Saccharomyces cerevisiae S288C: one gene and its partners. The main gene of each other region encodes a partner of the protein of the gene in region 2 in a complex. Each region holds a gene or a part of one and is shown on either strand. Other genes may lie near its edges.

Region 1 (2,937 bases), on a different chromosome or scaffold from region 2:
ACAGAATGTCGCTAAAGAATTGAACAAAGTCATTCCAATCGCAGCTGTTACGGGTGCATCCGTCTTAAGTTTGATCACCGTTATCGGTGAATCTTTGGGTTTGAAAGGTAAAGCTGCTGGTATAGTTGTTGGCATTGCTGGTGGGTTTTCTTTGCTAGAAGTCATTACCATTGAATACCAACAAAGTGGCGGTCAAAGTGCTTTGAATCAAGTCTTGGGTGTTCCAGGTGCTATGTAAACAAAGAAAAGAAAAAAAAGAAGGAAAACAAAAAAGAAGATCAAATTCTCTCTGCTACGCGCATTTATATACGTACGAACTTTTTGCTCTTCTTTTAGATTTATATGTATCTATATTTAACTCAAAGAAAGATGACATATGGTGCAATGTCTAAGCCATGTTTTATTTGATTTTGTTTTACAATCTTAAGTTTTATTTTTTATCTACCTATAAAGTCGAAAACTAGTATTTACACGCATATTGAAGAAAGATTATAAATAACTTATCCACGCTCCTTATAACATGAAGTGTCGGTGGCCCCTTCGCTTTGTACCCTCCCGTTTACTATGTATTCTTTTATCTTTAATAACTGTAAACGAGGATCTAATGGGCCGCCGCTAAATCCTTTAAATTCGTGTTTTAGAGGTGGTACATTTGCGTTAACGTAGGGCTTTAATTCGAAATTAACCATATCTGGGGTAACATAGGTTCTGACTTTCTTCCAGTTTATCACATAACCACCGAATTTTGTATGTCTACCAATCCCTGAAGCTCTTGTCCCTTTGTACATCGTCTTGTTACCTTGCTTCGTGGTCAACGGCACTCTTTTATTCCCAACTTTTGATAACCCATAAAATAATTCACCATCTCTGTATTTCTTCCAAGGCCTGGTAAGAGCATTAATAGAGGTCTTACTAAATTGAGAAATGGGTGAGCCTTTCATTTTAGTTATTTGCTGTCCTCACTTTCAAGGTAATCTTTGATTCCCGTAGTTTTTTTAAGCAAAAATTGGTGTATACTACTTCAATAGTCCTATCTTTTGTATTAATTCTAGCTTTTCAAAAATAATCCGTGAAACGTGATAATAATAATTATGTATCTCAAGAAAATCATCATCAAATAGCCGCCAACAAGCTGCAGTGAAGCAACATTGAAAGTCCTTCCCGCAAGTATTAGGCTCTGTTTAAAGATTACTAACCTTGTTAATAATTATAATAACACTTCACAGCTATTTTCGTATTCCTTTTCATAGTTAAGGGCATTTCACTTTGATCTAGAATGATCCTCTGATTTCGATGTTTTGTTATATGGTAAGGAAGCTCTTGAGCATTGCTCACAATTACTGCTGCAATTAGAAGTTCAATGAAGATGGTATCTTTTTTTTTTTTTCTCATGAGAGGGAATACCGACTTTACCATAAACTTGAGTGATAATCGCATTGTGCGCCGCGAAAAGCTGTGGCACCAATATCAATAAAATGTGTGTAACTGAATTATTTAAGTGAAAAACTATTTCGAGAAACCGAACAACCCTGTAAGGAAAAGTGAAAAACGAGGGCAGAAGTAATTGTGAAATCATGTACGATAGCAGGGGTGTCGCATTGCACTCTGAACTAATTCATAGGTGGAATCACGCTTTTTCCATCTTATCCATTGTTGCATTTCCAAAAAAAAGATTGTTGTTTGCTGGTAGCCAAGACTCCAAGATATTGGTTTTTGATCTTCCCACATATAATCTAATACATACGATTAGACTAGGCGAATCACAAGAGGAAACGCATACCAGATCTTCGGTTTTGTGCTTGACAGGATCAGAAGATGAAAACTTTTTATTTTCAGGCGGCGCAGATTCTTTGGTGAGAATTTGGTCCATTGGCGAAAAGACCATTAGAGATGACTTTCTACCTGTTACTGAAATAGCCACTGTTTACTCAGTGACCGATATTGGTGATATTTTCTCATTGGCATATTTGGATTCGTTGGAAACTATTGTCTTTGGCTGTCAAAATGCAAGCTTACTATATGTTGAGAACTTGATTCAGAAGATTGAAAAAAAATCCTCTGATGGAGTAGAAAATATCAATAAATTACCGCATAGAAGATATGATAAGTTCTTTGATTCGTTAGGTCCGACTGGATATAGTTCAAATTCATTATCTCAAACTTCATTGACCTCTCTACAAGAAAACTGTGGCGCTGCCATCATAGAGGTTCCCTCCGAAAACATTATTAAATATGCACATTATGGGTTTATTTATTCTATTAATAAATTGTGTCCCAGGTTTAATCAGTTATTGGAAAAAAGCTCACGAACTTCTGGTGCAGAGCACATAATTTCATCCGCTGGTGATGGAATAAGCAAGCTTTGGGAGTTCTCTAAAGATAAAGGGCAAAACACTGTTAAAATCTCCTTGATAAACGATAAAATCGACAATGAAGATAGCGTCATATCCCAAACTATTGAGTTCCCATTTTTATATTGCGGGTTGACTGACGGGATTATAAAAATCTGGGACTTAAATACTCAGCAAATAATCTCAACTCTGAAAACAAAGCATGAATCGGACGTCATTTCAATATCAGTTTATATGGACCATGTATTTGCCATTGATGAATCAGGCATCACGCATTTTTACCAGAACCAAGTTAACCATTGGAACCCTCAACAAGGAAAAATATTAAGCTCAGAGATTTTCAGTAAATCAAATGCTGGATCTGTTAGTTTATTAACGGGTGGTAGCGATGGGTCATTGACTCTCTGGGATATAACCTCATTATTATCTGCGGTGCCTCTGTCAAGCAACTCACCCATCAATGCATCATCTACATTACAAACCACCAATTTATGGGCCGCCTATCAATCTGCCTCTCTAAATAACGAGGAGATGTTAAACACACTGAGAGAACTTATTTCTTTCCAGACAGTGTCTCAAAGCAAAG
Region 2 (3,538 bases):
AAATTAAAGGGCCGATTACATCCGTTAGAAGCCGATTGTTTCATGAAGCAACTGCTTCATGGTGTTAAGTTCATGCATGATCATGGTATCGCTCATTGTGATTTAAAACCTGAAAATATTCTCTTTTATCCGCATGGTCTATTGAAAATATGTGACTTCGGTACAAGTTCTGTATTTCAAACCGCTTGGGAAAGGAGGGTTCATGCTCAAAAGGGTATAATTGGATCAGAGCCTTACGTAGCTCCAGAAGAGTTTGTTGATGGGGAGTATTACGATCCAAGACTGATTGACTGTTGGAGTTGTGGCGTTGTTTATATAACAATGATATTGGGGCATTATCTTTGGAAAGTAGCTTCGAGAGAAAAAGATATGTCTTATGATGAATTTTACAAGGAAATGCAGCGTAAAAACCAGTTTAGGGTATTCGAAGAATTAAAGCACGTAAACTCAGAGTTGGCCACAAATAGAAAAATCGCATTATATCGCATCTTTCAATGGGAACCAAGAAAAAGGATTTCTGTTGGCAAACTTTTAGATATGCAGTGGATGAAAAGTACGAATTGCTGCCTAATATATGATTCCACATAAATATCTTGTATACAATATTCACGGCATGCAATTATAGAATAAGACAAGAAAAAGAATACAACTCCAATGAGTAGAACGTCAGCAGCACGTTCATGCGTTTTCAAAGTTAAAGTCATACATTAAAATTTAAGCAATATATACAGGTGGTTAATTAAATAATGACGACAAAGCTCTTTTGCTGGTTTACAGTCCCTTGATTATAACGTTAATGAATGGAAAATGGGGGTACTTTTATTCTTATATGACCCTACTTGCCAAAGAGCATATCTTATTGTATCCCTTGTCTTTCAGTGTTCTATCTACACAACCATCATTAGCCATAATTCTTGTCCCCAGAGGTTCACCGGTATTTTTATTAATCAAAACGCAAGCAGTATCTCCGAATGCAACGGTGGAGCCATCCTTTCTGCACATGTTACGCTGTTTAGACCTTACGACAATTGCGTGACAAATATCACCTTTTTTGACACGGTTGGTGTTGGCTGTCCCCGTAATGTTTTGAGTCAAGGGCTTTGCTTTCTGTATAACACAGACTATTCTGTCTCCAACCATTGCAGGACTCTTGGGGGACCCTTTCCTTATTACTTTAATACATTCTGCTAATTGTGCACCTGAATTGTCGATTACCTTGATGACAGATTTTAGAAATATCATGTTGTGATGTTAGAAAATATGGCTTATCCAGATCTCAAAGGGTTGACGACACACCGTTCTACAAATCCGCTATGCCAATATCCACGCTTCACAATTTATCCGAACTCTTCTATAGGTCCCTTTTCTTCCATCCGTCATTTAGCAACATGATTTAAGGCTGTTCAAAAAAATATTCTGAGTTTTCGCACGTTGCACGAGTCGCAATGAATAGCGCCAAATAAGTGATAGAGGCATCAAATATGCGATAAAAATACTTATTTACATATTTCGTAATAGTAATTATGAAGTTCGTTATAATTTATAAAATGGGAGAAAAAAAAGTAAGCACAATGTATGTATTTTTTCAATGCAATCAATATCATTAATCATAAGTCATGAGCCATTATTATCGTGAATGGCCTCGCTTAGGTTCATTTCGTTTTGAAGGACTTCTTCAATCCTTTTCAATTTCCACCTCTTATCCAAGTCAATCGTCAAACATCCAATGACTGTGTCATACAAGCCTTGACCAATCGTTCCTTCATTTTTTTTCCTGTCAAATTTACAGACCTGAGCTAAAGAAAATCGGTCAAATTCGCCTACTTTAATCAGAGAGCGTAACCTAGGTTCGAACTCATGATTAAAGGGTAATTTTCCTACTAACATTGTATATAGCATTACTCCCAAGGCCCAAATATCGGATGCTGGTCCTAAAGGAGAAACAATACATGGAAAATCAGTCGATGAACCAGACGGTGAACTTGTAGTTACACCGGAATTCGTGACTGCGGACGCCTTTGTAGAGGATGATAGAGAAGATAAATTAGAGGAAGATGATGATGCTGCGCTAATTTCCGATTGAGAGGAGTCTGGTGAATCATAAATATGCATTTCAACTGATTTTGAACGTCTTGCATCTGAGTATCTTAGAAGTTCTGGCGAAGCGTAAGGCAGAGATCCGATATATTTAGAAGGTTCGGGTTCCAGGTTTGAAAAATCGGTTGTCTTGTGCCTCCCATGAAAGGGACTCCGATGCTGTGGTTGAGGTTGAGAGGCTGGCTTGTGAAATAGATTAGAAGAAGAAGAAGAGGATGGTTGATTGAGATGCTTTAATGAATGTGAACTGGAGCTAACCATTCCTTTTGGTGTAAACGGTTGATGCTTTCGATTTTCAAATTGGTATTTTAAGTTTTCACTAGCGTCAAAATCATTAGTTCGGTCGTCAGGTAAAAAATTGGTTGTGGGATACTTTATCAAATTAGTTTGTTCAATACTTTTTCTCTTTCTATGGCTGTTGCCACTACTCAAGTTTTCATCAAAAGTATCGTTACGATAAACATGCTTCTCATCGAAGTGGCAACTCATTCCAAAATCGCATAGGAAAACCTTCCAATCCGATTTTTTACCTTCTTTTTGTAACAGACAGTTTTCTAATTTGATGTCACCATGAACAATCGTTTTGGAATGCATGTACTTTAATGCAGATAATAGTTGTAAGCTTAAAAAAATGGTCAATCTGCATCTCTCTGCAAATGGTATCTTCGAACGTTTGAATTCGTCCCAAGATATTACCAAGTCGTATAAGGTACCATCGTTAATTCTTTCCGTTAAACAATACATTGCATAGTTGTCATCAAGCTTCCAATCTAAAAGGGGGAGTATTCTGTTATGCTTCAAAGTCCTCCATATGGCTACTTCTCTCAGCACATGTTTCTTGATATTTTGGTGTCCTTTGAACTTCACAATTTTTATCACTCTACCAACACCAGTTTCAATATCAAAGCATTCCCGTATGATCCCCCATGCGCCGAAACCTATGATTTTACCCAACCGATGACCTAGTATTTCCATACCCTTATCGTCTGGTCTCGCACTGCCACCTGCGCTTCCACTCAATGGGTTCGAATTCATTTTAGCTATTGACGTCATCGAAGGTGAAAAAGAACTTAAAAATTGGGATGCAATGGAACCGTGCCTAGATCTTTGAAGTGGACGCGTATTTACGTAGGTGTCATTGCTATTATTGGGCGTGTTCCTACTATTGATGTTATCATCATTAGCCGTGGCCTGCGAAACTGAAGCATTATTGGCAAACCCAGCGAGAGAAAAGTTACTTCTAGAAGATGTTAACATAAACTTCTTAACTAGGGACATCATGGCCTTGTAGTCATGAGATGGTGCATGCTCGATAATCACCTTTTTCCTTTGAGTATACGGCAAGTTCAAAAAATTTCTGGGAAGCTTCTGAATCAAATCCATCATATCGTTGGGGCTTATTTGTAGCTCTGATAAGGTCGATAATGTAGTAGTCGGAAGA
Region 3 (4,033 bases), 320 kb from region 2:
AATTAATTGGTTTTTTTCGAACTGCAAAGGGTTCCTAAAAAGAGTATTGTTTTGACCAACGAAATAAGACAATTTTCTACTAGAAAATTTGTTGCCTCTAGGTTTCAAAATCTCTCCGTCATCTAAAACTCCATTTGTCAATTGAAATTGTTCAACAACGATCTGCAACTTGTCATACTCATCTTTGGAGGTACAGTAATCGTGAAAGCAGCTATTATTAAGGGAACTCAAGGCACACTGTAAACATTTGCAGTTATCCAAGTCCTCCATTGTTTCATTATTCACAGTAACGCATGACCGACAAAATGCATATTGTTCATCAAAATAACGGGACACGCATTCACTTAAATTTCGTTTCTTCACATGGATCTTGTCAGTAATAAAATCTAGAGAATATTAGTACCTCGGTAAATTTGTTGTACATACGCAACTGGAGAGGAAGGGGGAAATCAGTTGTGAATTGTAACCTGGACATAAGTTAGGATCTGCCACAGTTTTGCTTTGAACCGCTGCGAGAACGCTCCCACCACCACCGGCAAAGAGAACCAGCAGAGCGCTTAGACATTCCAACATTATCAGTATATCTCGTGTGTTCCTGCCTCTTGATGATTTTAGCTAGCTGTAATGTGTAACGAATTATTCCCTTACTGCTTCTTGAGTTAGCCGCCAAAGAGGAAATATAGCCACAAAAAGAACTTACAGAAAAGATAAGGTAAAAAAAAAAAGTGATCTATAATGGGAAAGAAAAATCCAAACTTCTTCAAAGAGTATATATATGTACAGGATATTAAAATGTAATGATAGTAGTAATAATAGTATTAACATAAGCTAAGCGGATCTTGCTGTTTCCAAAGCTTTTCTTGTTGCATCATCCTCTAACTTTTGAATTTCTTTCATAATAGTATCATATTTACTTTTTTGCTCTTTAGAAGTAACATCGTTAACAACATATATGTTTGGTGACGCGTAATTATCAGAAAATGGGTGGATAGCATTTGGCTCAGCTTCTTTATAAGCGAGTTTAGGATCGTTGGCAGATGGCAAAATTTTTTCCTTAATATACCTTTTAAACTGCAAGGGTGTGCTTAAAGTGGTCAGTTCATAATCAGGAATTAGATAGCCAGATTTAGATTGCAAAAATTTGGTGAACTGAAATTTAGCTACCAAATCAGAGAATTGGACGTCCTGGTCTACTTTGCCCAATGTTTTTTCCGTTGCCTGCAATATCATATCATCTAACTGATTATCAGACGTAATCTTATCCCTGGATAACCACTGATTGAATGGCGCAGAGGAGACCGCAAGCTTCAACTCCTTCTGTCTCTTACACCGTCTAGACCCTTCGCCAATAAAATTTTCTGGTATTAGCTCCAATCTGTTTTTGTTATTGGAAGAGGATTGAGAGGAAGCCTCGTTAGTGCCTTCTTCAATATCCTTTATCAACTGTTTGGTGTCCTTGACAGGCTCTTGGTGCTCTTCTTGCTTCTTCCTCTTGAACCATGACATAAAGTCCCCGTTTGCAGCGGAACTGTGAATACATCTGGCTTTCTGCTTGTAGCCAGAGAGCCAGACCGACCTTTGCGGCAATGGTCTAATACAATGTAATTTAAGCAGTGACGACATCCTCATACTATGTCCGCCTTTCCGTCTACCCATTATTCACTTCAGGACTGATGATCAGGCATGCAGTTAATTTGACAGAAGTCGTTGTTTCACTATAAATTTGTCAGCTACCCGCCTCACCAGCAGCGATAAAGAACGAAGAATAAAAGAGAGCATTCACAGAGTACGAATCCAGTATAGCGGTAGTGGATACAACGACAGATTTAAGTCGTAAAAATGGGAGCCGTACTCAGCTGTTGTAGAAACCATTCCGGCGAAGAGAATGAAGCTTTGCTGAGGGAACAGCAGGCAGGCTATGGAAGTCAAGGAAACGCAAATGACGAATACGATGCCGAACAAATGCGGTTGAAGGAACACGAACACGAACAGAAACTGCTGGCCAGGGAACAAGAGTTAAGAGACATTGTTGCAAACACCAACGATAAACTAATAGACATATCGATGATAAACAATAGTGGCATTGTAATTCAAGGGACAGACCTGCAAGAAGCTCTTGATAAAAGACAACAGGAAGAAGGTGGAGATTCCCGGGAAGACGAAAGGAGTGCAGGTGATGACAACCTCAGTGGGCACTCAGTGCCTTCAAGCGGATCCGCACAGGCAACTACTCACCAAACTGCACCAAGGACTAATACGTTTACTCTGCTTACATCACCGGATTCAGCGAAAATATCAAAGGAACAGTTAAAGAAGTTGCACTCTAATATACTAAATGAAATTTTCAGCCAGTCCCAGGTAAACAAACCAGGCCCCTTGACGGTTCCCTTTTAATGAACTTTTTGTATAACATCATTGGTATACAAGCTTTATAAATAAATGTTAAATAGTTAATGAAATAAAAAATCACATTTGACGAATTCGGAAGACAAGTAGCCCAAGAAAAAAAACAACAAAAGCATGCTAGAGGATGATGTTTAAAACGACCCTCAGCCTGTTATTACAATAGAGAGCAAACCAAAGAATAATAGATAAAGTACACAGATATGGTAGTTAAGAAGCGTAAGTTGGCAACTGAGGCCGGTGGCAGTGATGAAAGGCCTAAATACTTGCCGGGAAAACATCCTAAAAACCAAGAGAAAACTCCGCATGTGGATTATAACGCCCCATTAAACCCTAAATCTGAACTTTTTCTAGATGACTGGCATATACCTAAATTTAATCGATTTATTAGTTTCACTTTGGATGTTCTTATCGACAAATACAAAGATATTTTCAAAGATTTCATCAAACTACCAAGTAGGAAGTTTCATCCACAGTATTATTACAAGATCCAGCAGCCAATGTCTATTAATGAAATCAAGTCAAGAGATTATGAATACGAAGATGGTCCAAGTAATTTTCTTTTGGATGTTGAGCTACTGACAAAGAATTGTCAAGCTTACAATGAATATGACAGTTTGATTGTAAAAAACTCCATGCAAGTAGTAATGTTGATTGAATTTGAAGTATTGAAGGCAAAAAATTTGAAAAGAAATTACTTAATTAACAGCGAGGTCAAAGCCAAATTACTGCACTATCTTAATAAGCTAGTTGACGCCACGGAAAAGAAAATCAACCAGGCTCTGCTGGGTGCGTCATCTCCTAAAAACTTAGACGACAAAGTCAAGCTAAGTGAACCGTTTATGGAATTAGTCGATAAAGATGAACTTCCTGAATATTATGAAATAGTGCATAGCCCCATGGCTTTATCGATCGTAAAGCAGAACCTCGAAATTGGTCAGTATTCCAAGATATATGATTTCATCATTGATATGCTTTTAGTTTTTCAGAATGCTCATATATTCAATGATCCAAGCGCTTTGATTTACAAAGACGCAACAACTTTAACAAATTATTTTAACTACTTAATACAAAAGGAATTCTTCCCAGAGTTACAGGATTTAAATGAACGTGGCGAAATTAATTTAGAATTTGACAAATTCGAATTCGAAAACTACTTAGCTATTGGTGGTGGTGGTCCAGCCGCAGCAGGTGCGTTAGCTATATCTGCTCTTGATAATGATATTGAGCCAGAATCTAACCGTGAAGATCTTATTGATCAAGCAGATTATGATTTCAATCATTTCGAAGGTCTCGGCAATGGTTATAATCGTTCTCTCCTAACTGAAGATTATTTACTGAACCCAAACAACTTCAAAAAGTTAATAGCCAAACCGGAAACAGTGCAATCCGAAGTCAAAAATGAAAGATCAACGACATCTGATATTGAGAAGACAAACTCCTTAGAGAGCGAACATTTAAAAATCCCCAAATACAATGTTATAAAATCCATGCAAAAAGAAATGCAATCACTCTCAGAGCAACACACCATGGAGTATAAGCCCTATAAATTAATACAACAAATTTACATTTTTTCTTCTAAAAATTTGTATTCGCAGGCAACTAAGCCTTTACTGGGTTCAAGGCCATC
Region 4 (4,119 bases), on a different chromosome or scaffold from region 2:
TCTAACGGATCTTGATTTGTGTGGACTTCCTTAGAAGTAACCGAAGCACAGGCGCTACCATGAGAAATGGGTGAATGTTGAGATAATTGTTGGGATTCCATTGTTGATAAAGGCTATAATATTAGGTATACAGAATATACTAGAAGTTCTCCTCGAGGATATAGGAATCCTCAAAATGGAATCTATATTTCTACATACTAATATTACGATTATTCCTCATTCCGTTTTATATGTTTCATTATCCTATTACATTATCAATCCTTGCACTTCAGCTTCCTCTAACCTCGATGACAGCTTCTCATAACTTATGTCATCATCTTAACACCGTATATGATAATATATTGATAATATAACTATTAGTTGATAGACGATAGTGGATTTTTATTCCAACAGTGTTAAAGATCTATTAGTTGATCATGTTGGAATAAAAATCCACTATCGTCTATCCAAACAATTCTCTCAAAATTCGCCCAATTCTCAAAATTCACCCATTTCCCACACATATGTGTTTTAGGAACGTTTAGGATAAGGAATCGTCATACTGACGTACCTCATTTTGAGATACAACAAATCATATATTATAAGACTCCATGGCCAAGTTGGTTAAGGCGTGCGACTGTTAATCGCAAGATCGTGAGTTCAACCCTCACTGGGGTCGTTTATTTTTTTTGTATTTGTGCTTATTTACTAAATAACCATTTCACCCTGTTATAATAATGCTTAAAAGAAGAATGTAGTTTTTCTCTTTTCCTTTAACTGCTTTACTTCTCCCGAAAAAGCAAGATGCAATCTTTTAATATGTTTGAGTTTGCTTAAAGTATATTCACAAAAAAGAAAATAAAAGTTAAAAATTTCTGAAAATCAGGACCTTATTCGATAGTTGGTCATAAATTGACTGAAAAATAGAATAATTTCGGACACCAAATGAATCATTAACAAGACAATATCTTAAGGTATGTACAAGTGAGAATATTACTTATATATAAAACGGTTAACAATTTTTTAGTGGTCCAAAGCCTTGATGTTCATGACTTTAGAATTAGACACAACTGGCACCCAATCCTTCTCTGGAGACAGTTCTTCTAGCTCTATTTCTAATGAGCTCTTTTTTACATTCTGTTTTAAAAAGTGTCTAGAACCCTTATTTTGAGCTTCTTTGATATCTTGTAAGAGTTTATCTTTTTCCATTACTAGGTAACCTCTTTTCTCTTCTTTACTATAGAAATCAATATCCCTTCTTTTCGTGGGTCTAGCCTGTAGTGGTACTCTTCCCCTCTTCTCAAGAAACCACTGGGGGTTGAGATGTGCCCTTAGACCCAACGGTGTGTAGTAACGAGCTGTAAACTTACCTCCTGCTTTTTCAATAGCCGCAATAGCCTTAGCGGATGCTCTAGAAGCCTCCAAAGCAATCGGTAGATTGTAGTGGAACTTTCCGCTGGCTAGAATTTTAACTCCGTACTTTATGGGACCAGTTACCAGACCAAGCTTTCTCATCTTATTCATGTCTAAAACCTCGCCTGGTTGCAAATGAAGCCTATTTTTATCATGAAACCATTGAATGCGTTTCAAGTTTAATTCCTTTAATGGTTTGGCGCCAACGTTGGTAAATCCAATTTTAGGAAATAGCTTGTAAATTGGAGTTTGACCACCTTCAAACCACGATTTTACTTTACCACGCGCCTTTTGACCCTTTTGACCACGCCCTGATGTCTTACCTAAACCGCTGGAAGGACCACGCCCAAGTCTTTTGAAAGACTTTGTAGAACCATCTGACGGTTTCAATTGTCCCAAAATCGAAACATAACGATAACTTTGAAATGCTAATACCGGCGATTTGAATAAACCTCGGAAAAAAATATCGTTACCAGCTACGCTAGTTAACATCATGGACGGAACAAAAGTGTTTATTAGTTTGCGACCGATTACGGTTGTAAAACTATTTCTTAATCCTGTTTGCCTTTCCGCTTTCATCAACTTCTAAAGGTCATGAGCTTTAATTTTACGCACTGCGTTTAGTGCAGTTACCTGGAGTTTCAGCCGGGTAAGAAAACTATACGATTGCCAAATAGAAAAACGGATATAAAGATAGTAGCTGTGAATAGTAGCTTTGTATAGTACATAAAGGTACCTTATCTAACATTGCTTGCGACGCAGAATACGCAAAATATACTGTTTAATTGCAATCAGGAGTTTGCTACGGTATTTGGTATAATCGGAACTCATATTGTCCTACGTTCACCGAGACCAATGAACGCACAATAAAATGGATACTTGGAATGCCCTACCCAAAATATGAGCTGCGTTTGTTTTGTGAAAAACGAAAAGTAATTAAGTTGTTTTGCAGAAGTGTGAATAATTGGGGGACGCCATTTGGTTTCTCTCTTCTGATTGATTAAAGTTAATTTCGGCACAATAACCCAATGACTGGCTAGGAAACTTCTCGATGCATCCGTGATCTCCCAAGGACGAAATGGTTTTTATCACGTCCTAACGACATCATATGTCCTCGAGGAGAACTTCTAGTATAGTATTTATTAACAATGGAATCCCAACAATCATCAAATTATTCACCAAATATACACAGATTCTTATACTAACTAAAGTAAGAAGATTAGGATTTCCATACTCATTTTGTTAAGTAGCACTTGTATATCCGGTTTTCTCAAGTTCTGAGCTTCTATGGCCAAGTTGGTAAGGCGCCACACTAGTAATGTGGAGATCATCGGTTCAAATCCGATTGGAAGCATATTATTTTTATTCTACGGTAAACATGCCTGATGGTGATTTGAGACAGACCCCATTGCCTCAGATTTGTGAAGAATAGAAAATGTGTACATTCATTTTGATAAACTATACATATACTTAACTTTTTAACATGATAAATCAATATTGATATGGTCGGTACTGTTCACTTTATCTATATTTTTTTTCTTTCGTGCAATAATCGTCGGCTTTAATAATATTATACATACAAAGGGAAAATGAAGGAAAGAAATATGAAAGGATGAATAAGTCTTTGATATGAATATGTAGTGTTGGTATCTAAACCTAGTCAGCGCAAAGAACTATTATTGGAATCCTTTGCATCATCGTAATCATCATCACCATCTGAGACATTACTCCCAATATTTGAACTCACATTATCGGGGTTGACAATGTGTAGTTGTCTTTCTTCCATCATATCGGGCAGCGAAGTAGCACTGAACCTTTGGTTCCCGTTATAGATCGAAGGAGGCTCCTCGTACACTACCGAGGGAAAGTGACTTCTTTTGCTGATATTATGTGCATCACCAGTAATAATAGAATCTCTGCCGCCCGGCGCCCTTGTCGGCAGATCATAAGTGGCAAAAGTAGACGCTGTATTCTTGGACAATGCTGTATTATTCCTAGAGGGTATGTGCCAGTTAGTGCTCGAAGCAGACGGTGGAATAACAGGGTTAGCGTCAGCATCACCCAGTGAGTACGGCTGGTACTGCTTTGTCTCTTCCAAGTCCACATGCTGAGAAGATTGGCGACGTTTTTTCCATACGAAAAAGAATAACGCCAGAGCCAACAAGGCAACTGTACCACAAACCACACCTACTACGACACCTGCGATGGCGCCACCACTCAAGCCTTTGCTCTTGGACGAGCTCGATTTCCCGTTTAAGAGAGAACTAGTAGAGGAGGACGTAGACGATACTGTTGCATAAACAGAGGTCCTGGTGGTAAAGATCGTGCTTGCTTGTTGGTTAGCTTGAGAAACCACGGACTGCGTCACCACACGGGTAGTGTAATGCGTGGAAGTACCTATTGAAGTCGATGAGGGGGTAGAAGTGACCGTTGCTGTCGAAGTTGAGGATGAGGTCGATGTGGTGGATGAAGAAGTTGCCTGCGTAGAGGACGTTTCTGAACTGGAAGAGGCAGAAGTGCTAGAGGAAGTGGTGGAAGGAGAAGAAGAAGTAGAAGTAGTACTAGAGGTAGTAGAAGTAGTAGAAGTAGTAGACGTAGAAGAGGAAGAGGATGAAGAAGAGGAGGAAGTAGTTGTCTCTGAAGAGGAAGTGGTAGTGGAGGTTGTAGACGAGGAAGAGGATGAGTGCGTAGCAGAAGAACTAGTTGAAGTTTTCGTGTCCAATTTCG

Evidence for each region.
Region 1: MRPL38 (region 2) and MRPL27 share a complex: the UniProt entries of both Saccharomyces cerevisiae proteins name them as parts of the mitochondrial large ribosomal subunit.
Region 3: MRPL38 (region 2) and MRPL13 share a complex: the UniProt entries of both Saccharomyces cerevisiae proteins name them as parts of the mitochondrial large ribosomal subunit.
Region 4: MRPL38 (region 2) and MRPL10 share a complex: the UniProt entries of both Saccharomyces cerevisiae proteins name them as parts of the mitochondrial large ribosomal subunit.

What each region holds. Positions count from the first base shown.
Region 1 is NC_001134.8:766,244-769,180, reverse strand, and holds MRPL27 (mitochondrial 54S ribosomal protein mL41 MRPL27), read right to left. Parts: upstream 942-2,937; coding exon 501-941; downstream 1-500. Other genes in the region: SSH1 (Ssh1p), read left to right, coding at 1-238; glutamine amidotransferase subunit DUG2, read left to right, coding at 1,575-2,937. UniProt on the Saccharomyces cerevisiae protein: Component of the mitochondrial ribosome (mitoribosome), a dedicated translation machinery responsible for the synthesis of mitochondrial genome-encoded proteins, including at least some of the essential transmembrane subunits of the mitochondrial respiratory chain.
Region 2 is NC_001143.9:128,338-131,875, reverse strand, and holds MRPL38 (mitochondrial 54S ribosomal protein uL14m MRPL38), read right to left. Parts: upstream 1,243-3,538; coding exon 826-1,242; downstream 1-825. Other genes in the region: putative serine/threonine protein kinase KKQ8, read left to right, coding at 1-588; protein kinase NNK1, read right to left, coding at 1,615-3,538. UniProt on the Saccharomyces cerevisiae protein: Component of the mitochondrial ribosome (mitoribosome), a dedicated translation machinery responsible for the synthesis of mitochondrial genome-encoded proteins, including at least some of the essential transmembrane subunits of the mitochondrial respiratory chain.
Region 3 is NC_001143.9:449,595-453,627, forward strand, and holds MRPL13 (mitochondrial 54S ribosomal protein mL50 MRPL13), read right to left. Parts: upstream 1,624-4,033; coding exon 829-1,623; downstream 1-828. Other genes in the region: YKR005C (uncharacterized protein), read right to left, coding at 1-357, 427-573; MEH1 (Meh1p), read left to right, coding at 1,840-2,394; RSC4 (Rsc4p), read left to right, coding at 2,607-4,033. UniProt on the Saccharomyces cerevisiae protein: Component of the mitochondrial ribosome (mitoribosome), a dedicated translation machinery responsible for the synthesis of mitochondrial genome-encoded proteins, including at least some of the essential transmembrane subunits of the mitochondrial respiratory chain.
Region 4 is NC_001146.8:102,132-106,250, forward strand, and holds MRPL10 (mitochondrial 54S ribosomal protein uL15m MRPL10), read right to left. Parts: upstream 1,972-4,119; coding exon 1,003-1,971; downstream 1-1,002. Other genes in the region: YNL284C-A (gag protein), read right to left, coding at 1-101; WSC2 (Wsc2p), read right to left, coding at 3,053-4,119. UniProt on the Saccharomyces cerevisiae protein: Component of the mitochondrial ribosome (mitoribosome), a dedicated translation machinery responsible for the synthesis of mitochondrial genome-encoded proteins, including at least some of the essential transmembrane subunits of the mitochondrial respiratory chain.